Lonchura striata: one gene and its partner. The protein of the gene in region 1 interacts with the protein of each later gene in a pairwise test. Links are inferred from orthologs where the notes say so. Each region holds a gene or a part of one and is shown in the gene's direction. Other genes may lie near its edges. The genes, in order: SHTN1 and FABP3.

Region 1 (15,020 bases):
AACGCAAGATGGCTCTGCTGAAGGCTGCAGTGGCACTGCCACGTTATTCACATCAGCTGCTTGCAGAATTTCTTGTCTCCTTCCCACCTTTTATCCTTGGGAATAGTGTTCTTAATGAATCTTTTCTTTCACAAATGTTCATCATTATCTAAATTGCTTTTTGGCTTTCAGTTATCACAGCCTCTTCTTGTAGGTGATGTTCGTAGGAACTTCTTCCAGGGAGAGAAAAATTATGAGTAACCCTTTGTTTGCTTTTCCATCTTTGCTTGATTTTAATAAGACATGAAAGGCAAAAATCTGAGACATCTGTTGTTTCTTTCAGCCATTTCCACAGAGACATTAGATAGCATTTCAAGTACTCAACTGACAAAACAACTCACCTTGTGAGAACACTCTGATTTATTAGATTGTTTTATTGCACTAGTTTTGTACTATGTGGGAAATAGCTTTCTTCTCTGAGACTACCTCATAAAAGCAGAATTTTCACATAGCTTTTGAGTATTTTATTATACTTATTGTATATTTATTGTATATTTATTATATATGAGTAATGATATGCTTGATACTTGGAATGTGAAGCAAGTCAGTTAAAAGTAATGCAATTAAGCCAGCACATAACTCACTGATCAGACCCAGAGATGTGGCTAATGCCTGATTTGCCATCTATTTTAATTAAAAAACCGTAATGTAGAAAAAAGAATACAAATCAAAAGCACTGGCAGAGTGAGAATATCATATATGCTACTTCTGGTGATAGAAGTAGTATATCCTTTCATCCAAGGAATTTGTTTTGTTAAAATGAGGTGAACTGGGAATAATTTTAAACTCAAGATGGGAACCAGCATGACAAGCAGGATGTTTTCCCTCAATGTCACTCTTAGGAGGTATTGTATCACCTGCTTTGATAGAGAAGACACACTGGAGTGTCCTGTTGACCAAAAGGCTCCATGGGCACACTTATTCCATTTTCAATGTCTGTGATTCTTGGTTTCAAACTCTGGTGGGAACTTGCAGCTTTTTGAAAGGCCATTCAATGCTGAGAAGCCACAGGGCAAACCCCAGGTCCAGCTGACCCATGGCTCAGCCTCACATAAATGAATTGTCCTGCATGGGTTCCAAGAGCAAGGAGTTCTTTTAAATTTTAACATTTTGGGTCAAGTCTAGTACCAGCAAAACTCCACTGAGAGCAGGTTTTTTTTCTCCTTCCTGAGCAGCCTTTTATAAGCTTCTCAGAATTTCTAGTTCAAGGTTCATTACAGAATTTCTTCATCTCTTTTTATAGCACAACCAGGAGCAGTGGTTTTGTCAGCTGTAGGAGCTGGCCTGTGGCACTGCAAATCAGCAAAATCAAATGTTGCAAAGGATGTATTTGTCTGATACCTGATGATGTAGAGTTGGGCAAGTGGCAGAAAGTTTGTGGGGTGTTTTTATGGAAATAAATTTGCTTACTCCTTGGTTCCTTTACTTCTGCATTGTTGAAGGACTTCCAGAAATGCTGGTTAAGCTGGTGAGAATCCTTATGGGCAACTTGGAGATTTTTCCCTAAATTCCTACAAAGAATCCAATTTTCTGCTGACATGAACTGATAGAGTTCCACGGCACACAATAACGCCATGGTGATTTTTATCAGCAAAATACCTGGCATAATTATCTTAGTGTAATAAGTGTGGTCAAGTGGTGCAATGTAATCCAACACCAGCTAAAGAATGCATGTGACAGCTTTGTTTTGCAAGAAGGGAGTAGAAAGGCTTGCTGGAAGGAGAGCCCAAATGCCTTTTAATTCAGGGAACTAGCATCTGACCCTAATTATGTGGAAAAATGGAGGTAGTGCAAGCACCAGAAAAGGGACAATTCTGCAACAGGAACAAAAGCATCAACTGCTGTTGAGATGTATGCAAAGTTCAACTGAGAGGGAGAGAGAGACAGACAAAGTGGCTCCAGTTGCACATAAATACTAGATGGAAAGTGTGTTGAGGAAGCAGGGCAATGGGTTATTTTTCATAAGCTGCAAAATTGCTTAATAAAAGTGAAATGACTTGCCCTTTCTGTAGAAATTAATTATGATGGCAACTTTGCAGATCAGCATAATAAAGATGTAGTCAAAATAACAGTGGCATTGAATTCAAAAGCTATGCATAATGAGTGGTCTTTTAAGATGCTTATGATCAGTACCAAATGACCTTGACTGTTGTATAGTAATGTATTTAAGTTCCTAACTAGCTGATTTTATTATTTAGTTTGACATTATGTTAGTTATTTATTAAAGAAATAGCACTGCAAGCTCCAGGAATAACTTACTAAGGAATAAGTTTTTGTATTCAGTGACACTTCATCAGCTTGCAGTGTGCTGTTTCCCTAAGATTTCTCCCATCACAAACATCAGCCCACACCAAAATCAAATTATGTCCATGTTTCACCATGAAATTATGAGCATAGAGATATCTGATCCTGTATGGCTAAAGTTGTTGTGGTTTTTTTGGTGTTTTTTTTTTTTTTTTGTTTTTGGTTTTTTTTTTTTTTTTAATAGATCATCCCTTCCTCCTGGGGAAAAAAAGAAAAGGAACATTTTTGCTATTGTCATTCACCATCACATAACACCTAGTGATTTAAAGATTCCTATATAACCTCTCTTATTCTTTGCTCTGGCAGCCCAGTTATCCAAATTGCTGCAGAACAAAGCAAAGAACCCCAGAGGAACTCATAAAAGCCACTGCAACAACAACCTCCCCAGTGAGACTGGTGCAACAGGGTCCCCCACTTTGGGAAAGGGGTCTGAAAAGTGACTCAATTTCTACCTCTCCAAAAGCATGGTATTTGCCTCTGACAGGCTGGAAGCATGGGAGATCTCACTAGTGAGCTATTTGTTATCTCTAAGTGTGTGTCCATGCAGGTGCTGGCAGATGTTCACACCTCTCCCATCTGTGCTTGAAGGTAGAGGATGCACCCATTACAACCAAATTGTATGAGGTGAGCATCCATAAAATACAATGAACTGCTGGGAAGGGTAAGTAGATTTAATTTGCCTAGTTATAGTTTACAGTTGTAAATTTAATATCCAGGATTGTCAATTATGGTACAATTAGAGTATTTATAAATGCCATGATAAATACTTAATCTTCCTCTGATTTATCTCCCAATCAATTTGTGCCTTTTTGCTGTGCAGAGACAAACATGTTTGCCATCCTAGATGGAGACGACTAGCAAAGATCATGCTAGTGTCTCTAATCAAATGGTTAAAGTTTTTCAAATGAATCTGTATTATCTGAGGGTTTTTATCTTTAATCATACTTATACTCCAGTTTGAATGTGTGCTGATTAGTTAGTTTCTGTCCTAGGGAGACAAGAAGTGCTTATATTTACCCTGATATATTATGCTGGCCATTATTCAGCACTGATTGGTTTGATGGAAAAATATACATTACCTCAGCAAGACAAGCTGCTTAGTCTTATTCATCCTGTTAATTAGATGCTCAAATAGCTACTGCCATTTCTACTTTTTTTTTCCGGTTTATTGATAGTCGTTGATCTGTGCAGTGATTATGTAGTTTGTTTTATCTTGTCCCCCCACTCCTCATAAAATCTGTCTGTTCTGAAAGTAGTAAACATATGGCTGTGGTCGTGCCCTGAGGGTATGCTCAGCCTGCAGTCACAGCTCTTTCCACCAGGTAGCTCTGCTCAACAGGAGGGTGATGAACCTCAGGAGTCACTTCAGGCTTTGCAGGGGCTGATGGACTGCACTGCTTCCCAAGGGAATGCCTTTCTCTCCCAGCCAGAGGGGCCCACTGCTCCCTTCCTTGCTCTTTGTCGTTGCAGATATTGAGGCTTTATTTATGAGGGAGAGGTAAAGCTGATTTGGTATCCATTAGAAGGTCTGAGGAAATTTTATCCCAAAATGAGGAATGGGAATATGCATATTTTAGATAGATAGATAGATAGATAGATAGATAGATAGATAGATAGACAGATAGATAGATAACAACCACATCAAATTCCTGACTGTTGTATCTATTTGATAGGGTAACAAAATCTTTACTTCTGTATGCCCATTTATTTTATAGATAAAGTTCACATTTACTGTCTCTAGGTAGTCCCAGGACAAAATTGTTCGTACACATAATAATTGTTTTAAATTTTATTATTCAGAATTTTGAATTTCAAAAACTCTATGATGTTATGAATTCTTAGGTCTTCACTCTAAATCCCATTAATTTAGGACTTATGTGACTAATGAACTGCAACGTACTCCAGGTTGTCATTAATATTTTCAAGTCCATCATCTGACTACTCATCAAAGTCTCATTCAAGAGATGAACCATGAAAAAAGTTGAAAAAATTATCTGCAAGAAGGTACAAGAGCCTGAGTTGCACACACCTGTTGGGTACTGATCATTTGCATCAAGTTCAAGCATTAGTCAGAATAACAGGAGGGGTCCAACATCTCACTAAGATCTATCCAAAGTAAGACAAAGTTAGAACTTCCAGTATTTTTTGTTTTCTTTCTTCTTCTTTTTTTTTTTTTTCTGTAATTATCCTTCTTCATATGATTAGTGGCTACTGTGTAGTTGAGAACAGCAGACAGATTCTCATTCATTGCAACTATGAGCTGGTGAAATCTAGAGGTATGATGAATCCATCTGAATTTTGGTCTCCCAAAGAACATAGATTATTAGTAATATAGTTAACTTTTCAGCTATCCCCTAACTTAGAAAAATATTAGCAACAATTGGCTAATATTATTATTACTACTACTACTATAGTAATAATAAATAATACTACTGCAGTGACAGCCATCCTACTCCTGCAATCAGCATGGTCTGAAACAAGGAGATCCTTGTTTTTAATGCTGACTTTTCAAGGCATTGTAACTGGATGTAAATATAAGTGAATATAAACAAAAAGAAAAATTATGAAACCCTAATATAGAAATTATGGAAGTGAATCCTTTTGATGTGGACATATTACTTTAACTTGAGTAAATAAATAAAATAATGGAAGAGTGGACTTGCAGCCTTTGCAGATATCAAAGGGATTTTATGCCCTGTTCTGACTGCATGCAACAGACAGAACATTGTTGGAGGATGAAAATGTCTGGTGCCTTGGCACCGGGCAGGGATAAGCAACCCTACAATGACTCTTTTGCAAATCCTGCTATTACACTGCATAAAGGAAATTGGTTTGGAAATGAAAGGGAATGATATCAGCAGAGGGAAGAGGGACTTGGAAGGAGACCTGTGGCTGAAGGGAAGCCAAAAAGGCAGCCCAAGAAAGGACACTAAAAAGTAAAACACTGGCAAAACTGCTCTGACTTAAAGTGGGGGCTATTCAAAATCAAGGTCATCCCAGAACTCCAAGGACCTAAATAGGACCTCTGTGTTCCTTCAAATGGAGGCATTTATTGATGTGTGTCTTTATTTGTAGCTTTTACGTTCAGCTTCTGGTTACAGACACATTCTGGTTGACTCTTTTCCACTAGGCTGAAAAGCCCTCAAATATTGAAACTGCCAAAACCAAATAATTTGTTTCCTTTTTGCTCAATTAAAAAGATCAAGGGTTTGAGGTCTCTCGTTGCAAAGCACTCCCCTCAGACCTTGGGTAATATTTTTTCTCTTGTGCTTTCTCCTTAAATTTTTTGTACCAAATTAATTAATTTTATAATTTTTTTCTTTTTTTTTTTTGTTTTTGAAGACCTGGATACCAAAAATTTATTTTGGTCCTGTCAGTGTTACAGAAGAAACTTTTTACCCTGCTGTCAGCATACCCCCATTCTTTTGCAGCAGTAACTTTCCAACAGCACTTACATCATTGCTTGCACTTTGCCTCCCACTTCCTATGCAGAGCCTTCGTTTTCCAAGGTCATTTCCCATTCTTTGCATATGACTCGGAGCACAAATTCATAACCTTGCATTTAATACAGTTAAAGGTGTTTTGTGCTGACTAATTCAAAATAAGCTGACTTATTTTTTTATAAACTTGCCTCTTTTGCCTTACAGGAGGCATACCATGCTTCTGAGACATCAGCACAGCTCACATGGTTCTTATGGCTTCTCTCCAGGATGTTACACGTGTCATTAACTACCTGTGGGACAGAAAGTGCTGTAAATCATCCATATGGAGTCTCTCCATGTTTTAAAGGCTTACTAGAAAAAAATGGGGAAACTAGAGGATACTGTACGGGAGGAAGGAGGCAGGAGGACCGAGCAACTGTTTGTAGTAGGGTCTTTTGCCTTTCACTCTGATATTTCTAACTAATGTTGCCACATCTGTGTGCTCTGACCTGCCTGCCACAGGGGTTGATGAGTGTTTGCAAAGAAGGAGGGAGGGAGGGAGGCATATGAAGTGTACCTTTGCCCATGCCAGTCTGGAGATAGCTGCTGCTCAGCTGACTGCTGCTGGAGCTCAGCAAAATATATAAACAGAGACAAACTCTGCATTGCACTTACTGTCAGCCTTGGTGTAAGCTGGGTAGGGTAACAATTTCAATACAGAGATTATCACTGGATCTCCTCCTTTTTCAGAAAGGGATCATCAGAGAATAGCAGTGTGTTCTTCTGAGGTGAGCACAGCAGGTCTCTGTCAAAGCCCTCTGCCCTGATGTTCTACCAAAGTTTTCTTCAAGTGCTGGGCACTGGAATGCAGCTGTTTTCCCATGGATTCTTACAAACACTAATGCAAAAAGCTTCCGGGGGTTTTTAAAACCCTTTTAGCTTTCTTTGTATCAAGGCACTCAAACAACCATTTAATGTCCCACCACTCTCCGGGTCAGGGCTCCTCAGTGGAAAGCTGTGCTATTCTAGCTGTGCAAAAGGGCACATTAAAAATGCAGCAACACAGCAGCAGCTGGGTGGGAGTGGAGCAGGAGGGCTTAATCCCAGCTCATGGGGGACTGATGCTGTAGGAGACCTTGCCTGGGGTCTGCAGCAGGACCTGGACAGGCTGGATCGATGGGCCGAGAGCAACAGCACGAGGCTCAGCAAGGCCAAGGGCAGCGCTGCACTTGGGCCACACCAGCCCTGCTGGGGTAAAACGCTGCGGAGGGCGGCTGGCAAGCGGCCCAGGGGAATGGACCTGGCCGTGCTGCAGCCAAGAAGGCGTCCTGGTCTGCCAGGGAGCAGGGCAGCAGGCCCAGGGAAGTGATGCTTGCCCTGTTCTCGGCACTGGTCAGGCCACACCGTAAGCACTGTGTCTAATTCCGAGCCCCCCGATTCAGGAAGGACATTGAGGTGACGGAGCAAATCCACGGAAGGGCAACGAACTACTGGAGGGTCAGGAGCACATGTCCCATGAGGAGAAGTTGAGGGAGCAGGGGTATTCAGCCAGGGGGATGCTCCAGGGAGACCTTCTCACTCTACATTTCCCTGAAAAGAGGTTGGAGCCAGATGGGGGTCAGGTTCTGCTCCCAGGAAACCAGTGACAGGAGAAGGGGGCACAGTCTTAAGGCAGGGGAGGTGTAGGTTGGACATTAGAAAGAATTTCTTCACAGAAGGGGTCGTTAGACATTGGAATGGGCTGCCCAGGGATGTGGTGGAGTCACCATCCCTGGAGGCGTCCAAAGAAAGCCTGAACGTGGCGCCTGGTGGCACGGATGCGCTGGGTCACAGGCTGCGCTGGGTGACCTCAGGAGCCCGTTCCAGCCGAGCGGCTCCGGGGCTCCCCGCGCAGCCGGGACGCCGCTCCCGGCGCGTCCCGCCCGGCGGAGCGGCCGGGCCGGGCCGCCGTGCCCGCACCCGCACATGCTCACTGGGGCGCCGCGGGAGTCTGGGCATGTGCAGAGCGGAGCGGGCCGGGCCGCTCGCCGCGCCCGCCGCGCCCCGGGGCCGCGGCCGCCGCCGCCCGCCCGCTGCCAGGTGAAGCCGCGCTCGCCGGGGCGGAGCGCAGCGCGGCAGCGGCGGGGCAGGATGAACAGCTCCGACGAGGAGAAGCAGCTGGAGCTCCTCGCCAGCCTGAAGGACCAAGGTAGGGGCGGGCGGCGCCGCCTCCGGCGCTGGAGAAAGCGGCTCCCCCCGCTCCGCCGCGGGCCCGGGCTCGGCCGGCGGAGCGCGGCCGCCGCGGGGCGAGGGCTCCGCGCCCACCGGGGGGACGGGGCGCGGCGCGGCGGGCGCGGCCTGGGCGTCCCCGACCCCGCTGCCAGGCCCCTTGTCCTGCCCGTGCAGAGGGAGATAATAAAAGCCTTAATGGAATAAAGCAGGGCAGCGGAACGTGTTGGCTCTTCCCCAGGTGGGCGCCGCCGCGGCCGCCTGGCCGCCCCGCAGGTGCCCGCTGTGGCTGCAGATGGGCTGGTCCCGGTGATCTCCGAGGGATTTTCCAGCACGGCTGCTGGAGCGGCGCTGCCAGCGCGGCCGTCGCGGGGGCCGATGGCGGTGGCGGTGCCGCACATGGGCCGTGGGCGCGGGGAGCCCCGAGCCCGCGGGACCGGACAGCTCCAGGGCTGGCAGGCTGTCCGCCTCGCTGTCCGTCCGAGCAGCTCGGCCTGACCTGGAGCTGGGCCAGGCCGTGCCGAGCCTGTCAGCCTGTCCCATCTCCCGCTCCGTGCTGCAGGGTCCGATCCTGGCCCGACCGTCCACGTCCTGCGGTCCCAGTCGCCATCAGCGGGCAAACTTCCCGCTGATGGCTCAGGGCTGTGCTGATACGCTCTCGGTTTCTGTGGCATCCTGGGCTGCTTTGGTTCGTGTGTGAGTCACTTTCGGTGCTTTAGTAGGAAAGGCCAGAATTTCAGCATGTTCCGTTTCAGGAGTGCATAGTCTGACTCAGAAACCAGAGCACTGTAATATTTAATCCTCTGCAAGAATGCACATGGAAAAGAGCTGGGGTGCTCATAAGCCACTCTGAACTCCCCTGTGGTCAGTCTGCCTCTCAGCCAGGTTGACCCAGCAAAGCTGCAGCCTTAGTTAGTCAGGTGGGCACATTCAAATGTTTGAAGATCTGTTTGAATTGTGAACATCTTCCGTGCACCAAGCAGTCCGTGTTGCCTCCTGTGCCACAGCTGCATGTGCAGGAGGTGTGAAGGAGCCACGCTGGAATTCACATGTGGCAGTTCCCACAGCTGAGCTTTCCTCATCTCCCTCGAGCCAGGGAGGGGCAATTTGGAAAGGAACTATTGGGCAAAGTTGTGTAAAAGAGTGAAATTACAGGGGTGTGATCAGTGCCCATTTTTCTGTCATTCATTCTGACCAAAAATGTGCTCCATCACTTTTGCTGTACAGCAGAAGCTTTTCCTAACCGCGTTTCATTTGAGTATTAATGGACTATTTATGACCTGCTTTGTCACTTTTTGGGTTTTTCCTGTACGCTCAGCTTAGGAAATTCCTGATTACTATTGACACAAGATAGATTCTCCTTTGGAAGGATGCATTAGGTGTAAAATGATAATCTTACAGCTGAGCGTTTTGGGAATCTGAAACTAAGGCTCAAAATCTGGTTCTCATACTGACTGACTGCTTCCCTCTAGTACTGTTGCCTCCAAGAGAGCATTTGTTAAAATGACAATGACCAGTTGCAAAAAAGAGAAGCTTGTGTTATTCTTTAGAGAAAACTGAGCCTGTTGAAATTGTTTAGAGCAGGGCTTCAGTTCTGCTTTCTGAAAGTCTTCTCCTCCAATGTGCTGGGTATCCTTTAATGTCTAAGGAAATTTTACTGGACTAGAGGAATTAGTGCAAAGGAAAGTTACTGTAACTTGAGGACTGGCTGTCCCAGATCACCTGAGCTGTTGAAATAGAAGCTGTACTTGGCAGACCCAGTCCTATAAGGCTCTGTTCTTGGTGGATGCTCATCCTTAAACACAGGAGTTTTAGTGAGGTGTTGTTAGGCTAACATATGCTTTTGTGATGCTGTGGCTGGTGAGAAAGTTGTTTTATGTAGGCAAAAAGTTACCTAGTAGAAAAAAATTAAAATACTTTTCTGTTTTACATCTAAAACTATGCAAAAAAATATGGTAGCGCAAATCAGTAGTTGACTGAGTCTGATTCCTAGAGTGAAAAACTCAAGCAGTGAAAAGGTAATGAGATAAATGAAATTATTCTAATTGTAAAATAAAAGATATTGTTACTGTAGATAAGTAAATTTGCTAACTCTTTATGTACTGTAATTTGGAATAGTGTCCCCTCCATTCTTATTGATAGCAAAACAAGGCTATTTTAGATACTACCAACTTCCCTCAGGTTATTTTAGGATGGTCTGTTGAACATAGACTCTTAATTTTCTTGTTTATTGCTTCCAAATGCAGATATCAGTATTTGCTTGGAAATAAATGCAGTTGGTGGAAGGATCTGCTGGATCTGAATATCTGGGGTAATGGCTACACAGACTCGTCCTATCTTTATTTTTTCAGAGTGGTGTAAGTCTTCAGGTTTTTGTAACATTCTGATGTGTAGTCAGATTTCTGCAAAATGCAAATGGGTTTGGAAAGGTTTCAGAAGACATTCATTCAGTAGCTGTTGGCTTGGTTTCTTTTTCAGGATATGCTTTTTTAGTCTTGTGAGGGTTGCCTGGCACCAGGTAAATGCAGTGTCTGAGAAGTGGTGCCGTAGGTGGGGTAGCAGCGTCTGTGGCTGGCTGCTGTCACATTCCAACTGCTGTTTTTACCTCTCCTCACCAAGGTCGGGAGACTGAACCTGAGGCAGGTGTTTTGTAGCTGCCCACTCAATTCTCAGTGGCAGCTGTGAAGCTCTCTGGGGCTTGGGCAAAGCTGCTTGGCTGTTTGGCAAAGCTCTGAGCAGCAAAAAGGACACTGAAGCCATCTGTGTGCAAGATACTCTTATCTTTCACCCATGCTGAATTTTCCAAGTCCTGTGTGTTAGACTCAGATACCTGATACTGATCATTCTTCAGCTTGCTCCATTACTGAGTTTAAGGTGAGCATCATGAAGAAACAAGATCTCTGTATTGATGGTATTTTGGACTTAAAAGTGTTGTTTGAGTTTTAATCCTCAAATAGTTTTCTGAAATGTCATGGTTTAATAAAGCTGTCTCTCTATAAATATTACTATTGCCTCACTGTATTTTAAGTGATGTTTCCAGTGATGCACACTTCTATTCAACTGGCCCTTATATTCCTATGGCTAAAAAAAGAAAAAAAAAAGCAAATTGGTAAAACTTTGTATTATTAGTGGTTGGTTTTAGAACCTGAGGAATGGTAGCAAACTTGACTAACAGCTGAATCATAACAATAGTTGATTACCTGTCTGGAAGATTGCCTTGTTTGTCTTTGGTTTTATTGGTACTGCTGGTACCTTGCCCTTAAAGACAGAGTCAGCTTCTGCAATAGTCCCTTTTTTGTTCAGCTGAAAACAGGAGCCAGTGGTCAAAGTGTCTGGAGTTATAAACTAAGTAAAATTACACTTCAGCACTGCCACTGTCATAGCCACATTTCTGGTCACTTTGCTAAAGTACAGTGGTTAACAATTGCTGCTAACCACACATATACTAAAAGTATTTATATTGCCTGGATTTTTCCCTTCATTTTTGAAAGGTCTAACTTTGCTCTGTGTTTGTTGGCTGGATTTGATGAAGTGCGATGATTTCCAATCTCTAGTCCTAAGCACTATGCGTCTGTATACTTTTTTTTAAATTATGATCTATTTGATCACTAAAAACTTTTTCTTATACTGTCAGCACCTTTCAATAAGGGAACATCTTATACATGTATCTTCTTAGGAACAGACTAGCCTGCCAACCTGACAGCAATATCTCAGAGCAGTACCTTTTAAATGTATGCTATTGACAAGCTCCTAATGTGGTCTGACAAATTCAATCTACTTTGTGGCAGATGGTTAATTTTTATGGCCAGTGGAATTTCTTAGGACTCCTTCTTGGCTGCTGTCTTCCCTTCTATAGTCACCTGCTCTATAATTTATTTGTTCCCTGTGTACCTGTGTGTATATCTTAATACACAGCAGCCATTATTCCCAAGCAGAACCCATCCTGCTTGAATGTATTAGAGGTCAGATGTTTTTCCCACTTCAGTTTCTTGTATTGAACCCTATTTTTTTTTCAGAAACTTGTGAAGGGAAATCTTTCGGTGTGAACTTAGTAGTTGGTCTTTATCAGGCAGTGGTGTGTTTAGTTTTCCTGCCCTGTTTTTTCAAGGAAGCTCTAAGACTTGATGCAAATTCAGGGTTTAATTCAATTTACTTGTACACACTTTCACAGATTTTAATAAAATTAAGGCATATGGGAACACAGATGCAGGAGCTGACTTACAGTGTTTGTACCTAACACTTATCTTTGCGTACTTACCCAGGTGATTTTTATTTATTTTTTAAAGGACTGTAAGATAATTTAGCTGTGCTGGTTTCAGCAAATGCAACTGATACCTGACCAAAGCTTGGTTTGCCCATGTAAGCTTTAGGCCTGATAATAGGTTTGTGTACTGTGTGTGAAGATTTGGAGTCATTGTAAGGTGCTGAGTGTAATGCTGTCCCATAGATTCCCCTTAACAGAAGGAGGGATTAAAAGTGCCACCCAAGGCATTATTTGAAAATAATTGCAGTATTTGAAAATAGTTTGTACCTGGCTGGTGCTGCTGGTGCCTTGCTGAATCCTGTTGAAATACTGATAAGTTGGATTTAGCAGAAGAGACCTTTGAGCCTAGAATGGTGAACAAGGGAAAAAATGACCCCTTTTGGCTTTTTTTTATCCTTTTAACAGCACTTCACAGTCTTGTGCATGTTGTACATGTAGGAGGCCACTGTTGTTCAAGATTTTTCACAGCATTCTTGGCTTGATTCTTCCTATTTCAGGTATATTGGGAGGAGCAATGTGGTGGCAGCAATTCCATTAAATCTTCTGGTGCTGACAGGGGTAATTCTGTCTCTAATGATACATCCAAAAAGCCAGGTGATAATTTACTTCTACCAACAAAATATGACTTAATTGGGCTAGCTTGTTTCATCTGGAGCAGAGGACTTCTTGCACTGTCAGCTCTTTCTCCTGCCTGTACCAGTAAAGACATGCCTGGTCCATGGTATGGAAGCAAAAACAGTGGAGTGACACTTGCTTCCTTGGGCAGCTCTACTTATTTTTTTTAGTAAATAAGTAGATTTTAAATCCTGAAGTGGCATTACTTACTGATTTGGCATGGAATGGCTCTCAGTTGACTCTCAATTGGCTGCCCTGGTTTGCAATATAAATATTGAAGTATATGCATGTAACATTTTTAAAGTTTGGTGTTTTTTTCTTTGATTTGTGTTTTTTAATATGCAGCTTTAGGAAAGGGGTTGATTAATTTTTTAATAAAAAGAGTAGGAAGAGTCATCATCTCACTCTGTGTAAATGAAGGTGTCTTTCCTGTTGTTCATTGTGAATTATAATCATGATATACTTCTACCCTTATGGCCCTGTTTTAGTAATAAGTCCTATTCAGCCATAGCAAGTACCTAATATATAAAACATCTAATTTAGGTAATACTTACGTTTTGTTAGTAAATTCAGGTTCAGGAGACACAGGTCCACAACTGAAAATCAAAATTTATAATTAAAGGACCTTCTGCATACAAAGTTACCTGCTTAATTTAATGCTGGTTAAGGGCATTGATATGTTTCCAGACAGTCCCTTCTGGCCAGCTGAGCTGGGGAGTGAGTAGCTGGTGAGTAAGTGAGACCACTGTTGTGAAGGAACATGCTGTGTTCACTCATGTTGGCTGTTTTGGGGTTTTACTCTTTTACTGTAAGAAAGAGCAGGGTTGGCTGAGAATACATTTTGGGTAGGTTAAGAGCTATAGCCCAGAATATTCTGTTATTTTCTCCTTCAGGGCTAATGAGTCAGAGTTCTCTGTTCATGAGGCATATGAAGAGAGCTGTCGAGGGTGGAGCAAATCTGTATTTACATTTTTCAGTTATTTGTAAAGTACAGAATGTCAAGAATAACTTTGCCTTAAAGGCGAGCTAACACGAGCAGTTTTCAAGTGTGAAGAAACTTGAATTACATCTGTTGGTACAGTTTTCATTCCTGTTCTTGCATCTGGATGGTAGAAGTCTCTTCTCATATTTTCTTTAGGGGAACAGGGAATAGCTTGGCAGTGGAGCAGTGACCTCTTAAGAGGCACAGCCTTTGTGCTCCTTTGTAGGAAGTACATTATTTCACCACTGTTTTTTCTTGTTTGTTCATCTACCTGTTGGTTTTTTGTTGGTTTTTTTACTTTTTCTGCTTCTTGGGTGTGGGTGGTGGGTAGGAATTTTGGGTACATAAGAAGTGGGGACAAAGTAAAGGGATTGATGGGAGACCTTGGTTTTACTGGTGTACGGATCAGCTACTCTGCAGGTACCCATATATCACACCAACCATTCTTTCTAGGATAGATCTGTAACCTGAGCCAGTCTGGGTTTAAAATGGTCACTGCAAACCAGCCTATTCACCTTGTAATTTTTGAACTCATTCAATAAGGTTGTTTAGCTCTACATTGATCAGTAATTGATTGTTTTGGGAGCTACCACCTTTTTCAGACACTTCCTAATTGCTTCAATTTTAGGAGGCTATCCAGTTCATAGGATATTAATAGGCTATTAATGAAGTTTATGATCCATGTTATTTAAGAAATCTGCATAGAGAAACAAGAGTTTTCAATTTAATCAAATGGAGAGCTAATTTGGGGAGAGGTACTGCTATATTAACTTTTTTACTTTTTTTCCCCTTGTGTAGCTATTGGCGAATATGAAGAGCTTAGAGCAGAAAATAAGAAAACAAAGGAAGAGGTTTGTATGAATCAATTATAAATTTAATACTAAAATGCTAAGTACCAGAATACCTTGTGGACTGTGGCAGATTGTTGACTGCTTTTTTGAGTTCACTGTTACTTAATATTAATATTACTTGTACCTATGTGTTTTATGGAGCAATGAATGCAACTCTCACAACTATTCTGGCTGTCCCACTCTAGAAAAGTTCCTGTAAATATATTATAAGTGATTGCTGCTTTACCAGGTTTGCCCGTGATAACAGTGGGAGCATAGACCAAGTCACGTGTTCTGATAAAATTGTTTCTCTTTGATGTAAGCCTTGTTTTATTATGACTTCATTTGCACATGGG
Region 2 (15,476 bases), on another chromosome or scaffold:
ACTCCCAGCGGGATTCCCAGTGACTCCCAGTGACCCCCAGTGACTCCCAGTGACTCCCAGCGGGGATTCCCAGTGACTCCCAGTGACTCCCAGTGACTCCCAGAACTAGCTGCCAGCAGGAATTCCCAGCGGACCACCAGTGAGTTCACCCCCCACTGCTACCAGCTTGGGGACAGCAGTCCCAGTGCTTCCACCAACATGTGGCACGGAGGGGATGGGGCTGCTGGGGTGGTGGTCTGGGGTCCCTGTGCTCTGAGGGGGGTGGAGGGGATGGTGGGGGGGGGTTCCTTGTCCTTGCCAAGTCATGTGCCACCTCTGTGCCACCCCTTTGTCACCCTTGTGCCACCCCTGTGCCATCCCCCACCCCTGTGCCACTCCCACCTCCCATGGCAAAAGCTCAGAGTGTTTCCAGAGCTGAGCAAACACCTCGAGAAGGTCACAGCAGCACGGGAAACTACATGGCTCCATGGCAGTTGGATTTTCCTGGTTCTTGAGGCTTCCCAGGAGTGCCCCCACCCACCCAGGGCACGCCACCATTGCTGCTGCCTGCCTGGCTCAGCAAGAGCCGTTCTCCAAGGGAGACAGGCTGTCCCCAGGTTGGGGACTCCATGAAGTTCCCTGGCAGTGCTGGCTCGGCCTCCCTCCATTTTACCTCTGCATCCCCATCCATCATCCATCCGTCCATCATCCATCCGTCCATCATCCATCCGTCCATCCATCCATCCATCCATCATCCATCCATCCTTCCATCTTCCATCCATCATCCATCCATTCATCCATCCATCCATCATCCATCCATCCATCCATCCATCCATCCATCCATCCATCCATCTGTCCATCATCCATCCATCCATCCATCATCCATCCATCCATCCATCCATCCATCCATCCACCCATCCATCATCCATCCATCCATCATCCATCCATCATCCATCCATCATCCATCCATCCATCATCCATCCATCCATCTTCCATCCATCCATCTTCCATCCATCATCCATCCATCATCCATCCATCCATCATCCATCCATCCATCCATCCATCATCCATCCATCCATCCCTCCATCCCCACCCACCCCCACGGACGAGGCTCAGGGTGCTGTGGGTGCTCCCCTGGGGACACATTCTGGTTTCCCCCCAGACTCGCTCCCTGCTCCGTGTCCCCCGGCCCCATTGGTGACCCCTGCTCTGCCTCCCGCAGGTCAGAGCCGAGGGGCCGCAGCCAGGACGGATCCCTGTCCCCCGCGGTGTCCCTCCCCCGGGCACGGGGCAGAGGCGGTGCCAGGCCAGGCTGGAGGCTGCCCGGTAAGGCTGCCCGGGCTGGGGGAGTGGGACCTGGGAGCGCCTCGCTCCAGCTGCAGTGACCAGCGGGGTCCGGGGCAGCAGGGTGGCCCTGCCTCCATTCCCGTCGGGCAGAGGCAGTGCAGGGGGGAGCAGAGGGCACCGGAGCACCCGGCCCGGAGCAGAGCCGGCTCCCTTTAGCTCGCTGTGCTCCGGGGGTGACAGAGGGGACATCTCTCCCCAGGGTTAGCATGACCGAGGTGGAACCCGTGCTGGACTTCGCATCCTCCAGCAGGACGGGCCGGCGCAATGCCCTGCCCGACATCCTGGGCTCGCCTGCCGGCGTCAGCCCCGCCGACCTGCCCCTCAAACTGGCCGAGATGTCCCTGAGCGCAGGTGGGTGACCAGGGGATGGGGGGGATGTGGGGTGAGCCGGGACCGGGGTTCCCGAGTTCATCCCGTTCTTAGGGACAAGGACACTGAGGGGCTGGACCGTGTCCAGGGAAGGGAACAGAGCTGGAGCCCCAGGAGAGGCTGAGGGAGCTGGGAAGGGGCTGGAGAATCCCTGAGGGAGCTGGGAAGGGGCTCAGCCTGGAGAAAAGGAGGCTCAGGGGGACCTTGTGGCTCTCACAGCTCCTGACAGGAGGGGACAGCCGGGGGGTCGGGCTCTGCTCCAGGAACAGGGACAGGAGGAGAGGGAACGGCCATGGAAGGTCCAGGTTGGATATGGGGGGACATTTCTCTATGGAAAGGGTGGTCAGGCATTGGAACTGCCCAGGGAGGTTTGGAGTGCCCATCCCTGGTCACTGGGCTGAGGACAAGGGGTTATCGGGCACAGGGTTGACTCGATGCTCTCGGAGCACTTTTCCAGCCTCCATGATTGTGTGATTCCCATCCCGTGGCCCTCTCCCGTCTCTCCCGGCAGGCAGTGCCCAGGACATGCAGTCGCCCTCAGCGGAGGTGCCCTCCCCGCAGCCGCCCAGCCCCGAGCTGAAGGACACGTCCTAACCCCGCCGGGGACACGGCTGAGCGGCGGAGGAAGGAGGAGGCGGCGGGGCACCAGCCCGGCTTTCCTGGCACCGCCGGAGCCCGCGGGGCACCGGCCCGGCTTTCCTGGCACCGCCGGAGCCCGCCGGGATCCCCTCGGTGCTGCCGCAGCGAGGCCCTGGAGCTCCCCCGGCCATGGGGGAGCCGCGCGTGGCGGGGACGCGGAGGGGACACGGAGGGGACCTGCCGTGACCAAGGGGCGACTCCCACCCACGCCCTGGGCCAGGACTCGGGGGGAGGGGGTGTTTTGGCCTCCCCGGGGGGAGGAATATTTTTCTTCTGGGGCATTTGGCGGAGCCGAGCGCGGGGGGGGTCCCGGGGGGGCCCTCCTGGCCGCAGGAGCAGCCACGGGTGTTTCTTGCTGAGTGTGGTGTTCACTGTGATGTTTTTGGGTACCACCTCGTCTCCTGACCTTTCTTCTGGGTGACTCAGGAGCCACTCCCAGTTTTTGGGGGGTGAGGTGGGGAAACACAACCCGAGACCCCCCCAGCCCTTAGGTAAAGCTCCCGGGTTGCCAGCAGGTCTCTGAGGGATCCCACTGGGGAGCAGGGCACCCCAGCGTGGTCCCCACTCCCGGGGATGGGGTGCCGGTGAGTTTGGGGGTGGGGAGCAGGGCGATGCTGTTTGGAGCAGCCCCAGCCCCCCGAGCCAGGTCACCCACTGTCCCCACGCCGGATCCTCTCCCGCAGCCCCGGGCGGGGCCAGCCGGGTCCTGCGGCCTTTGGGGATGCGGGGGACACAGAGTGCGGCTTTCCGTGCTCCCCAAACCCTCTGCTTCTGCCAGAGGGCGGGATGGGACCCTCCTGCCCGGGCACTGGAGGACTCCTCTGCCGGCTCTGGGGGTCGCTGGCCGGAGCCGGGCAGGGTGGTTGGAGATGGAGCTGGATTGATCCCGTCCCATCCCTCCATCCCATCCCGTCCCGGACGGTCACCTGTAGCTGTCGCTGTGGGACCAGCGAAGGCATCCCCAGCCCAGGGCCCCTCTGGCCGCCCCCGCGGACCAGGAGAGCCCCACGGGCGGGGCCACCGTCCCCAGCACCCCACGGCCACCATCGGGCTCCCGGGCACCTCGCGTGGAGCGCAGTCCTGGACGGGAGGGAGGGCTGGCACGTGCAGGGGCATCCCTGGTGTGGGTACCCGTGTGTTCGGGCATCCGCGGGCGTGGGCGCCCATTTACACGGGCATTCGTGGGCATGGGAGCCCGAGTGCGTGGGCATCCCTGTGCGTGGGCATCCCTGTGCGTGGGCATCCCTGTGCGTGCGCACTCATTTACATTGTCATGGGCTGCCATGCGTGTGTGCATCCATGTGCAGGGTCATGGGCACCCCCACACACGGGCATCGCTGTGTGGGGGCATCTGTGTGCTCATGGGCACTCGTTTGTATGGGCATTCATGGGCATGGAGTCCCATGTGTGTGTGCACATCCGTGTGTGTGTGCATCCATTTGTGTGTGTGTGCAGGGACATAGCTGTGTGTGTGTGCATCTGTATGTGTGTGTGTGCATCCGTGTGTGTGTGCATCCGTGTGTGTGTGCATCCATGTGTGTGTGCATCCATTTGTGTGTGTGTGCAGGGACATAGCTGTGTGTGTATGTGCATCCGTGTGTGTGCACATCCATGTGTGTGTGCATCCAATTGTGTGTGTGTGCAGGGACATAGCTATGTGTGTGTGTGCATCTGTATGTGTGTGTGTGCATCCGTTTGTGTGTGCATCCATGTGTGTGCATCCATGTGTGTGTGTGCAGGGATATCTGTGTGTGTGTGCATCCGTGTGTGTGTGCAACCATTTGTGTGTGTGTGCGTGCATCCATTTGTGTGTGTGTGCAGGGACATAGCTGTGTGTGTGTGTGCATCTGTATGTGTGTGTGTGCATCCGTTTGTGTGTGCATCCATGTGTGTGCATCCGTGTGTGTGTGTGCAGGGGTATCTGTGTGTGTGTGCATCCGTGTGTGTGTGCATCCACTTGTGTGTGTGTGCAGGGATATCTGTGTGTGTGTGTGCATCCGTGTATGTGTACATCCATGTGTGTGTGCATGTGCAGGGACATATCTCTGTGTGTGCACATCCATATGTGTGCATCCGTGTGTGTGTGTGCAGGGACATATCTGTGTGTGTGTGTGTGTGTGCATCCATGTGTCTGTGCATCCGTGTATGTGTGCATCCATTAGTGTGATCTGTGCGTGTGCATCCAAGTGTGTGCATCCATTTATGTATGTGTGTCCTTGTACAGGGGCATCTGTCTGTGTGTGCATCCGTGTGTGTGTGCATCCGTGTGTGTGTGCATCCGTGTGTGTGTGTGCATCCGTGTGTGTGTGCATCCATGTGTGTGTGCATCCTTGTGTGTATGCATCCGTGTGTGTGAATGCATCCATGTGTGTGTGCACCCATGTGTGTGCCCATGTGTGTGTGCACCCCTGTGTGTGTGCACCCATGTGTGTGTTCATGGGCACCCCCATGATGGGAATTCATGTGTGTGGGCATCTGTGTGGATGTGCAGGAGCATCGGTGTGCACGTGCACATCAGTGTGACCCGTGTGCATGTGGGTGTCCATGGGCATGCATGTGCATATGCACCTCTGTGCATGGATATCCGTGTGCGTGGTGATCCATGGTCATGGCATCTGTGTGTATGGACTTCATATACACCCACATGTGTGTGAACCCATGTGTGTGTGCACCTGTGAGAATGTGCATCCATGAGGGTGTGTATCCGTGTGTGTGTGTGCATCCATGTGTGTGAACCCATGTGTGTGTGCACCTGTGAGAATGTGCATCCATGAGGGTGTGTATCCGTGTGTGTGTGCATCCATGTGTGTGAACCCAAGTGTGTGTGTGCATCCGTGTGTGTGTGCATGCATTGCATCCATATGCATGGGCATCTGTGTGCATGGGGATCCATGCACACGTGCAGGGGCACTGCTGTGTGTGTGCATCTGTGTGCATGTGCAGGGATATCTGTGTGTGTGTGTGTGTGTGCATTTGTGTGGGTGTCTGTGCACACGTGCAGTGGATATCAATGTGTGCATGTGTGCATCCGTGGTCACAGACACTCCTTTACATGAGCATTTATGGGCATGAGCTCCTGTGCATGCATCTGTGTGTGTGTGTGTGTGTGTGTGCGTGTGTGTGTGTGTGTGTGTGTGTGTGTGTGTGTGTGCAGGGACATCTGTGTGTGTGTGCATCTCTCTCTGTGTGTGCACATCTGTGCGTGTGTGCATGCATCCATGTGTGTGTGCACATGTAGAGATATCGCTGTGTGTGTCTGTGCATGTGCAGGAGTATCTCTGTGTGTGTGTGCATCTGTGTGGGTGTGTGCATCCATGTGTGTGTGCATGTGCAGAGATATCTGTGTGTGTGCATCTGTGTGGGTGTGTGCACCCATGTGTGTGTGCATGTGCAGAGATATCTGTGTGTGTGCATCTGTGTGGGTGTGTGCATCCATGTGTCTGTGCATGTGCAGGGATATCTGTGTGTGTGCATCTGTGTGGGTGTGTGCATCCATGTGTCTGTGCATGTGCAGGGATATCTGTGTGTGTGTCCCTGTCAGTGTGTGAACCTGTCAATGGCTGTCCCTATACTGGGGTGTCCCTGTTCCCAGGTGTCCCCGTGCCCGGGTGTCCCTGTGCCCAGGTGTCCCTATATTGGGGTGTCCCCGTGCCCGGGTGTCCCTATATTGGGGTGTCCCTGTGCCCGGGTGTCCCCGTGCCCGGGTGTCGCTGTCAGTGGGTATCCCCGTGCCCGGGTGTCCCTATATTGGGGTGTCCCCGTGCCAGGGTGTCCCTATATTGGGGTGTCCCTATGCCCGGGTGTCCCTGTGCCCGGGTGTCGCTGTCAGTGGGTGTCCCCGTGCCCGGGTGTCCCTATATTGGGGTGTCCCTGTGCCCGGGTGTCCCTGTGCCCGGGTGTCCCTATATTGGGGTGTCCCCGTGCCAGGGCAGCTGTTCCTGTCAATGTCCCCATCTCCTGGTCCCGTTGTGTAAAGGGGACAGGACAGTGCGGGTCTGGGGCACTGCCACCCAGGTGAGGGGACAGAGGACAGTCCTTGCCCTCGGTGTCCCCCCGGCCGTGGGGGCTCTGTGTCCCTGGGGAATGATTTGTCCCTGTGACCCTGGCGAGCAGCGCCCTGCCCGTGTCCCAGGCGGGACAGGGACACGCATCCCACGGGACGAGTCCTGTGCCCCCAGGGCACGAGGTGAGGGGTCCTGCTCGGTGGCAGTGCCAGCAGGAGGACGCCGAACACGAGCTCTGGCTATTTTTGGGTGTCTGCGATGTCACACAGAGGCCAGAGACAGGGAGAAAGTGTCCCCGGTCCCTCCTGGCCCTGGTGCCTGTGACCCCCAAGTCCCCAAGGCAAGGGGACACGCTGCAGCACCGGGCTCAGGGACACCTGAGCCCCCAGCTGGGTCCCTCCGCGGCCCGGGGTGGGGGCAGGAGCGGGCACCGTCCCCGGGGCTCCAGGGGACACCGGAGCCCACGGCCAGGGGTGACCCACCCACGCCGGGAAGGGGCTGGGGATGCGCTGGAGCCCAAAGCACGGGGACATGGGGGCACCTGCTGGGGGTCCCACAGCCCCGTCTGTGCTTGTCCCCCGCGTCCCCCCGGCACCCGAAGCACCACTGGCGGCACACGCGTGTGTTCCCACGCACACAGGGAGGGAACAGGGTCACACACGTGCCCACACACACAGGCACACCGAGCTGGGACCGGGTCACGCGTCCCCACAGACACGCGGAATTGAGGGGGTGTCTCACATGTCCCCACACTCTCCTGGAGTCCCCACACGTATTCCCACACACCTCCCCGGTGCTCCCTGCTTCCAGTGCCTCAGTTTCCCCAACTCAGCTCCCCTATCCCCGTGCCTCAGTTTCCCCAGCTCAGCTCCCCTATCCCCGCCACTCGTGTCCCTAAAGGGCATCACCGCCGTCGCTGTCCCCACGCCCTGACCGTGCCCAGGGGCAGCAACTGCCCCTCCCCACGCACCCACGGGACCACCTGGGCTGGGCACAGACCCCCCTCGCCCACCTCAGCGCCCCCCTACCCCGCAGCCCGTCCCCGCCGTGCCCCGCAGAGCCCGGGCACGGCTCAGGGCACAAGTGCCCCTCTCGCTGTGCCCACCCCTGCCCCGGGGCGGGGGGCGGTGGCCGGGGGCGGGTGGCCGGGCCGGGGTGGCCGCTGGCAGCGCTGCCGGGGAGTATTTCTGGAGCGCGTTCTGCTCTTTCCAATCATGTGATGAGGACATTATTTAAGGCGGCCGCGGGGCCGGAGCAGCTGCAGGCGGTGCCACGCTCGCAGCCGGCCGGAGCCCCGCGCGTCTGCGGCCCCCCGCGCCCCCTCGCCATGGTCGACGCCTTCGTGGGCACCTGGAAGCTGGTGGACACCAACAATTTCGATGAGTACATGAAAGCGCTGGGTGAGTGGGCGCGGCTGAGAGCGGATTCGGGGTCACGTCACCTCTTTTTCACCCCTTTTTTTATTTCCTATACCCCCCCACCCCAATTTGCCTGGTGAACCCCTGCCTCCCCACGGGGTTCTGTGGGCGGTGGAGAAGTCGCTGCTGCCTCCGTGGGTGGTTTAGAGGGGCTCTGGGGTTTTGTGCACGTGGGGCTGGGCAGGGTGAGGGGGCTCGGGCTGGTGAGGGGGTGAAGGGTCGCGTCCTTCCCGTGCCCACTCCAGGGGCAGCCTTTGGCAGAGGGTGGAGGGATGAGATGCCCCCCGTGGGTGCTGGGGGCCGCTCAGGAACCCCCCAGCCTTTCCCAGCCCCCAAGCCCCCCATCAGCCAGCTCCAGCATGGTCGGGGGAGTCCCCCAGCCCAGCCCAGGGCAGGGAATGGGGGACAGACAGCAGCCCCCCCCTCACGCAGCTCAGGGGCTGCTCCCGGATCCATCCCTCCCTGCACCCCCTCTCTGCTCCTGCCCCGGGGGCGCACGGAGCCCCCCAGGACCGTGAGCGGGCAGCGGTTTTGGGGTTCACCCTCCACCAGCACGGGGAGGAAGAGCTCGGGGGTGATGCCGGGGCTGGGTGGCCGCTTCGTGCCCCTCCACACGCCCTCCCCCTCGCTCCCCAGGCGTGGGCTTCGCCACGCGGCAGGTGGCCGGCTTCACCAAGCCCACCACCATCATCGAGCTGGACGGCGACAAGGTCACCGTGAAGACCCAGAGCACCTTCAAGAACACCGAGATCACCTTCAAGCTGGGCGAGGAGTTCGACGAGACCACGGCGGACGACAGGCACGTCAAGGTGAGCCCCCCGCCCCGCCCCGCGGCACCCCCGAAAGGCTCTGTGGGCTCCGGGGGATCGCCCCGCCAGCCCGGGGCTCCGGGGCTCCATCCTGGCTGTCTGTGCGAGGGGAGCGGCCCCGTGCCCGCCGGGGCTGCTGCTCCAGCCCGCTCCCGGCCGGGCACCCCCGGAGCCGTGGTGCAGCGGGGCTCTCCCGGGCACGACGGAGCTGCCGGGAAGGTTGTGCAAGAGCCGGGCTGGCGAGTGCCAGCTTGCTCAAGAGGAGGCCGTGGTGGGGTGGTGGGAAGTGTCCCTGCTCCGGGGGTAGAGGGGCACCACCCCTGTTTTTTGAGCCCACTCCCCTCCGCCTGCCCTCCCAAGCAGGCAGCGCTGCAGGGATGCAGCACCGGGGCAATCCCAGCTGCTCGGTGCCGCTCCAAGGGCTCGTCCCAGGGCTGCGGGTCCCTGGGGAGCTCAAAACTTCCCAGACCAAGCTGCTCCTCTCTGTAAGAGCAAGGGAAAAAAATCACCTGAGAGAGAGCGGTGCCTTTCCTGGCCTCTCCCAGCCTGCAGGGACATTTTCCCTCGAAGGAGTGGCCCAGCTCCTGATTTTTCCTAGATTCCAGCTGCACGGAGCAGCTCTATGCCCCACACCCAGCCCGGGGGGCACCTCAGCAGGAACCTGGGGGCTCTTCGGCCACAAACCCCTTTCCTGGCCCCAGAGCAGGAAGCACAAAGGGTTGGGCTCGAGTGAGGCTGGGGGAAGGGGCTGAGTGTGAGGTCCCTCTCTGCCGCGGAGCTGCTGGAAGCTGTTCAAGCAGCAGGAACGTGTGACCGGCCCGGAGCTGCTGCCACGGCCCGGGACGTGCCCTTGGGGTGTCCCTGGGCCGGGCCAGAGGGCACGTGATGGGTCAGCGGGGCCAGGACGGCTGCCGAGGCACGGGGCTGGACGGGATGGGGCACTGGGGTCAGCCTTGGGGTGCGGGGAGTTGTGGGGCACCCGGGATAGCTTGGAATGGTTTGGGTTGGAACGGACCCTAAAGTTCATCCAGTGCCGCCCCTGCCATGGCAGGGACACCTTCCAGGTCCCAGGCTGCTCCCAGCCCTGTCCAGCCCGGCCTTGGGCACTGCCAGGGATCCAGGGGCAGCCACAGCTGCTCTGGGCACCCTGTGCCAGCGCCTCGCCCCTTCCCAGGGAGGAATTTCTCCCCGGTGCTCCATCCATCCCTGCCCTCTGGCTGTGGGGCACCCACACCCTGCAAGTACCCAAACTTTTGGACAGTTGAGCAGTGGGGGGACACAGCTATGGGGTAATCGGGGTCTGAGGGCGCACCCAGAGCCTTGTGGGGATGCGGGGCTGGGGCACACCTGAGCTCTGGACAGACCCAAGCCCTGGGGCAGCCCCTGGCTCCGGAGGGGCTGGGTGGGGGGCACAGGGCAGGATGGGGACAGGCAGGCGGTGCCAGCGCTGGTGCCAGCGCCTGTCCCGGCACAACCCCGCCGTGCGTGCCGCGGCCGGCGCTGTCACAGTAACCTTGGCACGGGCCGGCTCCCGGGGCTGAGTCAGCAGCGGCGCTCTGCAAACAGCAGCGCGGCGAGCTCAGGCGCGTCTGCCGCAGCAGCCGCTCCAAGGAGCCCCGGCGGGCCCTGCAGGGCAGGGACGCTTCGGCTCCAAGCCCGACCGCTGCCCCGCCTGCCTGGTCCCCGCCGGAGCCGGCCAGCCGCGCTCGGGAGCGCGAACGGGCCAGGTCCGGGTGGCCCCGGAGCGGGACGTGGCCCGGGGCACGGAGGGCACGGTGACCCTGCCGGTGGCACTGGGGTCACAGGGGAGCAGCCAGGCCGTGAGCCAGTGCAGATCCAGGCGGGCTGAGCGCGGCTGACCCAGCCAGGCGGGGATGGTGCCAGGTGGGCATCCCCACAGGGGCACCCCCAGGCTGATCCCGAGCCCTGCGGGGCTCCAGGGCCCCCTCTGAGGAATAAACCCCCTCGGAGCCCAGAAACCCGGAAAGTAACCGTGGCTCTGAATCCCTCCCTGCAGTCCTTGGTCACACTGGATGGAGGCAAACTCATCCACGTGCAGAAGTGGGAGGGGAAGGAGACGTCGCTGGTCCGAGAGCTGAAGGATGGGAAATTGGTTCTGGTAAGGAACTGGTTTTATTCTGACGTTCCCACCTCAGAACTGGTTTTATTCTGATGTTCCCACCTCAGAACTGGTTTTATTCTGAGGCTCCTGCCTCAGAAATGGTTTGAAGTGGGTCAGCTCAGAGCTAGGCAAAGCAGCACTAACTCCTGCCACCTCTCTGCCCCCAGACTCTCACCATGGGCAACGTGGTCTCCACCCGCACCTACGAGAAGGCGACATAGACGCTGTCCCAGGTCCCCTGCCTGTCACCCGGTGCCACATTGTCCCCACCTCCTGGCCCCGTGCCAGGCACGGCTTCGGTGGGCTCGGAGCCGCTGCCCCAGCGGGGCCGCCCCTGCCCCCGCCTGCAGAGGCTCCGGGGCCTCGGGTGGTGGTTTCGTGTTTGTTGTTGGGTTCTTTTTTAATTGATAGTGGGAAAAGTCACATGGAAAAATAATAAAGGTGTTGTTACAGCTCTGTGCTCGGTTTTCTCGGGAAAAGGCGTTTTTGGCACATGCCCACCCACCCACAGGGGTGGCAGGGAGGGGGTTAATGGCCAGTGGGCCCAGTAGCCCATCCCAGCCTCTTCTCCACGCTGCAGAATCACTTCTGGCTGTGCTCTCCGGGAATGCCCCTCCCAGCCAGGCCGGTTCCCCAGGGCAGGAGGGAGCCCCACAGCCCCAGCCAGAGGGGCAGGCTCCCCTGGAACAAAGGTGCCGAGCTCTCGGTGCCGGATTTGGGAAGGGAAATGGCCCCAAAGGGGGATGCAGCCATGGGGAGCTGGAGCGGGAAGCACAGGGAGGAAAAAGGAGAAGGGGAGGCTGCATCAGCAGTCCCAGCTCTCCTGGCACACCAAGAGCTGCCAGTGCCAGCTCCCTGCAGAGCCAGAGGCCGCAGGGGCGGCTCCACATCTGTCCCAGCAGGGCCGAGCTGCTCCTGGCACCTTCCCCCTGCCATCCCTTCCCCTGACCTTCAGCTCCAGTTACAAGATTTATGCTCCCTCCAGAAGGCTTCTCCTTACGGGTTACCTCATCACACACCCCCCTTTTCCACCCCAGGGAACCTCAGGAAGCAGCCAGAACTTCCCAAAAAAAACCCTTTCCCATATCCTGCACACAGCCAGCGTTGTTCTCCCCCTGCCCAAGATGAAGTGTGGAGGGTAGAGAAGAAAGGAGCTGGTACAAAGTACAGCTGGAGAGAGCAGAGATTTATTTTCCATCCCTTTCCAAGGCAGCAAACACTCCACAGTCCATGTTTACTCCCAGTATCTCCACTCCCCCACTTGCTCCTTGCTCCTCCACTCCTGGTGTTTGCAGAGACCGAGGGAGCCGGGGCAGCTTTGCAGCCCAGAGCTCTGTGCCAGGGGGTTGTGGTCCCACCAAACCCTGTCCCCAGCACGGCGTGGGCCTGGCTCTGCAGGGCTGCTGTCCCCCAGCTGCCACAGGAGCTGACACCAGGCTGTGGCACAGCAGGGGTGTCCTGCAGGGTGTCATCAGCCTGTGCTGGCAGCAGCTGTGGGACAAAGGGGCAGCCCCATCCCAAGCTGACAGGGGACAGCTCGTAGCCAGGTCAACACCTGTAACACCACATGCTACCTGGAGAAGGAAAGTCCTTGTCTCTGGAGCAGAGAGCTGCTGATCCTGCTGGCTGCACCAGGGAACGGCCCTGGCAGCAGCCCAGCCTGCCCTGCTCACCCCAGGGCTACTTCTTGTGCTTCTTCTTCTTCTTCTTGGGAGCCTTGCTGGCTTTCCCGGAGTGCTTGGGCCTCTTGCTGGAGGGCTGAGCTCCATCACTGTCCGAGGCTGAGCTGTCCGAGTCCGACTCCGAGGACTGCTTGGCCTTGTGCTTCTTCCTCTTCTTCTTCTCCTAGGAAAACATGGGAAAAGCCAGGGAATGTGGGAATGCTCTCCCTGGTGCTCACCAGGCCAGCAGGAGCCTTTCTGGGCCTGCTCCTGCATGGAAAGGGCACGGTGCCCCAGGAGGCAGGAGTTAATCACCACTGCCAGCCCTCAGCTGCAGGGGCAGGGCACAGAGCAGGGCAGGAATGGGAGCAGGAGGGCAACAATGTGGCAATCCAAGGCTGGAAAACACCGGATAATTCATGGAAGGAGAGTTCTTGCTCTCATTCCATTATTTCATTGCTCTTTATTAGTAAAAGTTGGAAGGATGAGGCTTTTTTGCCCAAAAATTCGGTTTCTAAACCAGCCATGAGCAACAGCCCTGGAGCCCCAGCCCACCACCAGCCCCCAGCCTGCCAGGACAGGAGCACTGGAGCACCCAAACACTCCCAGCTCCAGGCAGGAGAGCCCAGTGGAGCAGCAGGACGAGGTCAGTGCCCTCTTGCAAGATGTGGCACTTTGCACAACCTCCCTAAAGATTTCACCACCCTCTCCTCTTTCCCAACTTCCTCTGTGCCCCTTCCTGCTCCTCAATTTCCTCTGCACCCCTTTGTGCTCCCCAACTTCCCACTGCACCCCAATTTCTCCTGAACCCCATCCTGCTCATCTTCCCATTGCACCTTGTCCTGCTCCCCAGTTTCCTCTGCACCCCATCCTGAAGATTCCTTCTTACACTCCTCATTCCCAGTTTTCCTTGAACGCCCTCCTGCTCCCAAACTTCTCTTCCAGCCTCCCCTCCTGCTCCCCAGCCTCCCCTGCACCTCTGCTGCTCTCTCCCCCTGCACTAGCCCCACGCTGTGTTTCTGCAAAGCCCCGAGCCAGGAGCTCCAGACTGACCCTCGGCTGCAGCACGAGAACAGCTGGTGTTGGAATAAAGCCCATGAGGGACTCTGGAATGGACCTAAACCCTCCAACTTGAGGTGTGTGACAAAGCAGCAGGCAGAGATTACACTGAGATCAGGCCTGGGGGGCACTGGGATCACCCCCAGGCAGTGTTTAATGATGCAGCACGGCAATTTGGGGATATTTAATCAGGGCACAGGCCTGGGGAGAGAGAGGATCTGACTGATGCCAGAGCTCATCCCCTGTATCCCCTTCCAGTGGGGAGCAGGAATGCTGCCAGCAGCTCCCAAGGGCCTGACACACCCCATCCTGCAAAAACTCAGGTGTTCCCTCCCCTTGGCTCTGGGAAGTGAAGGGAAGCAGCTGAACGGGCCCCTAAAGTAACTGCACCCTGCACATGGTTCATGCACAGCTGCAGCTTCCTGTCCCAGCACAGCAGCAGCAGCTCCAAGGAGGATCCACCAGCTCCAGCCAGGCCAGGCAGTGCCTGAGAGACTTTCCTGCAAAAGGCTCTGAGCACCACGGAGTGGTTTGGGTGAAAGCCCACCCAGTTCCACCTCTGTGCCCTGGCAAGGACACCCCCACTGTCCCAGGAGCTCCAGCCTGGCCTTGGGCACTGCCGGGGATCCAGGGGCAGCCACAGCTGCTCTGGGAATTCCAGCCCAGCCCCTGCCCACCCACATGGCCAGGAATTGCTTCCCAATATCCCACCCAAATCTCCCCATTTCCAGTCTGAATTCCATTCCAATTCCATTCCCTGGCTCCTGTCCCTCCATCCTTGTCCCCAGTCCCTCTGCAGCTCTCCTGGAGCCCCTCCAGGCCCTGCAGGGGCTCTGAGCTCTCCCTGGAGCTTCTCCTCTCCAGGGAGCACCCCCAGCTCTCCAGCCTGGCTCCAGAGGGGCTGATCAGGAATTTTTGCCCTATTAGAGGACTCAAGCAAAGAAGCCAAGGAGGGTTTCAGGGAGCAGAGATGGCCACTGAGGTGACCAAAGCCCTGGGACAGGCTTGGACAGCCCGCTGAGGAATGTGGCCCAGCAAGCCCAGCTCAGGGCTCTGACTAACCCAGGTTTTAAGCACCTGTGCCCAAATTGGACTGGGTGTCCAAGCACCAGGCCCTGGCTACCAGCTGGTGAAAAAAGAAAGAAGCTGGAAGCTTATTTTTAATCAAACAGAACAATTCTTTTAGGGAGCTGGAAGAGCAAAGAGAACACCCAGAGCTGAGCATCCAGCAGAGTCCTCTGGGATTCCAGGGAAGGGAGCAGAGGATGGAGTGGCTCACACCCACCAGACCCTTGGCACATTTTAGCTCCCTAACAGCAAATAATGCCACCCAAAACTGAGTCTGTTTTCCTGTGGGGTAACAACAGACTCACTGCAAAGTCCCTGACCCACCGAGGAAAGGCAGAAGCAAATCCTCCCAGCCCTAAGAGGATGGAAGGAGTTAAATCCTCCAGAGAAGGGGATGCAGCAAGGAGAATTTTCTCAAGCTTTTCCAGCCTGTGCACATGGTGAGAAAGTTTGAGGAAACCTTCACAACCAAGAGTTTCATTCCAAAGCTTGGGAAACTTTCTCAGGATGTGAGGGCTGAAGGCAGGACAGGATGTCACACACAGGATGCTCCTGGGGATGGAGCAGGAGACAAAAAAGCACACATGGGCATTGTGCTGACTGGGAAAAATCAACAAATCCTCACTCTCCCCTTTTTGGGGGCTTCTAACAGCCAAGATTACTCCAAGAGAAACAAATCCCTTTTCTAGCACACAGTGGGGTTCTTGGGGTGTCCTGAGCAGGGCCAGGAGCTGAACTAAGTGATCCTTGTGTGTGTGTGTCTTTTCCAACCCTGGATATTCCATGATTCTCTGATTCTTCCAGTGCAGCAAATCGGCACAGCCTGGGCTGGAAGTGCAGCTGGACTCAAGGAGAGCTGAACATTCCCAGAGGATAAAAATGTGGCTGCTCCATGGCTGGAAGGGCTTTGGAGCAGCCTGGGACAGTGAGAAGTGTCCCTGCCCACAGCAGGGGTGGCACTGGATGGGATTTCAGGTCCTTCCAACCCAACCCATTCCAGG

Evidence for each region.
Region 2: the proteins of SHTN1 (region 1) and FABP3 interact in binary tests that used the Homo sapiens proteins (3 or more experiments, as listed by UniProt). The two-hybrid records come from large-scale screens. The link is inferred for Lonchura striata from reciprocal best matches to the Homo sapiens genes SHTN1 and FABP3.

The regions. Positions count from the first base shown.
Region 1 is NC_134609.1:26,093,487-26,108,506, reverse strand, and holds the start of SHTN1 (shootin-1), read left to right. Parts: upstream 1-7,814; 5' UTR 7,815-7,895; coding exon 7,896-7,953; intron 7,954-14,632; coding exon 14,633-14,685; intron 14,686-15,020. UniProt on the Homo sapiens protein: Involved in the generation of internal asymmetric signals required for neuronal polarization and neurite outgrowth.
Region 2 is NC_134628.1:6,712,737-6,728,212, forward strand, and holds FABP3 (fatty acid-binding protein, heart), read left to right. Parts: upstream 1-7,535; 5' UTR 7,536-7,557; coding exon 7,558-7,738; intron 7,739-8,392; coding exon 8,393-8,565; intron 8,566-10,582; coding exon 10,583-10,684; intron 10,685-10,854; coding exon 10,855-10,908; 3' UTR 10,909-11,139; downstream 11,140-15,476. Other genes in the region: cAMP-dependent protein kinase inhibitor beta-like, read left to right, coding at 1,533-1,677, 2,207-2,289; ZCCHC17 (zinc finger CCHC domain-containing protein 17), read right to left, coding at 12,368-12,532. UniProt on the Homo sapiens protein: FABPs are thought to play a role in the intracellular transport of long-chain fatty acids and their acyl-CoA esters.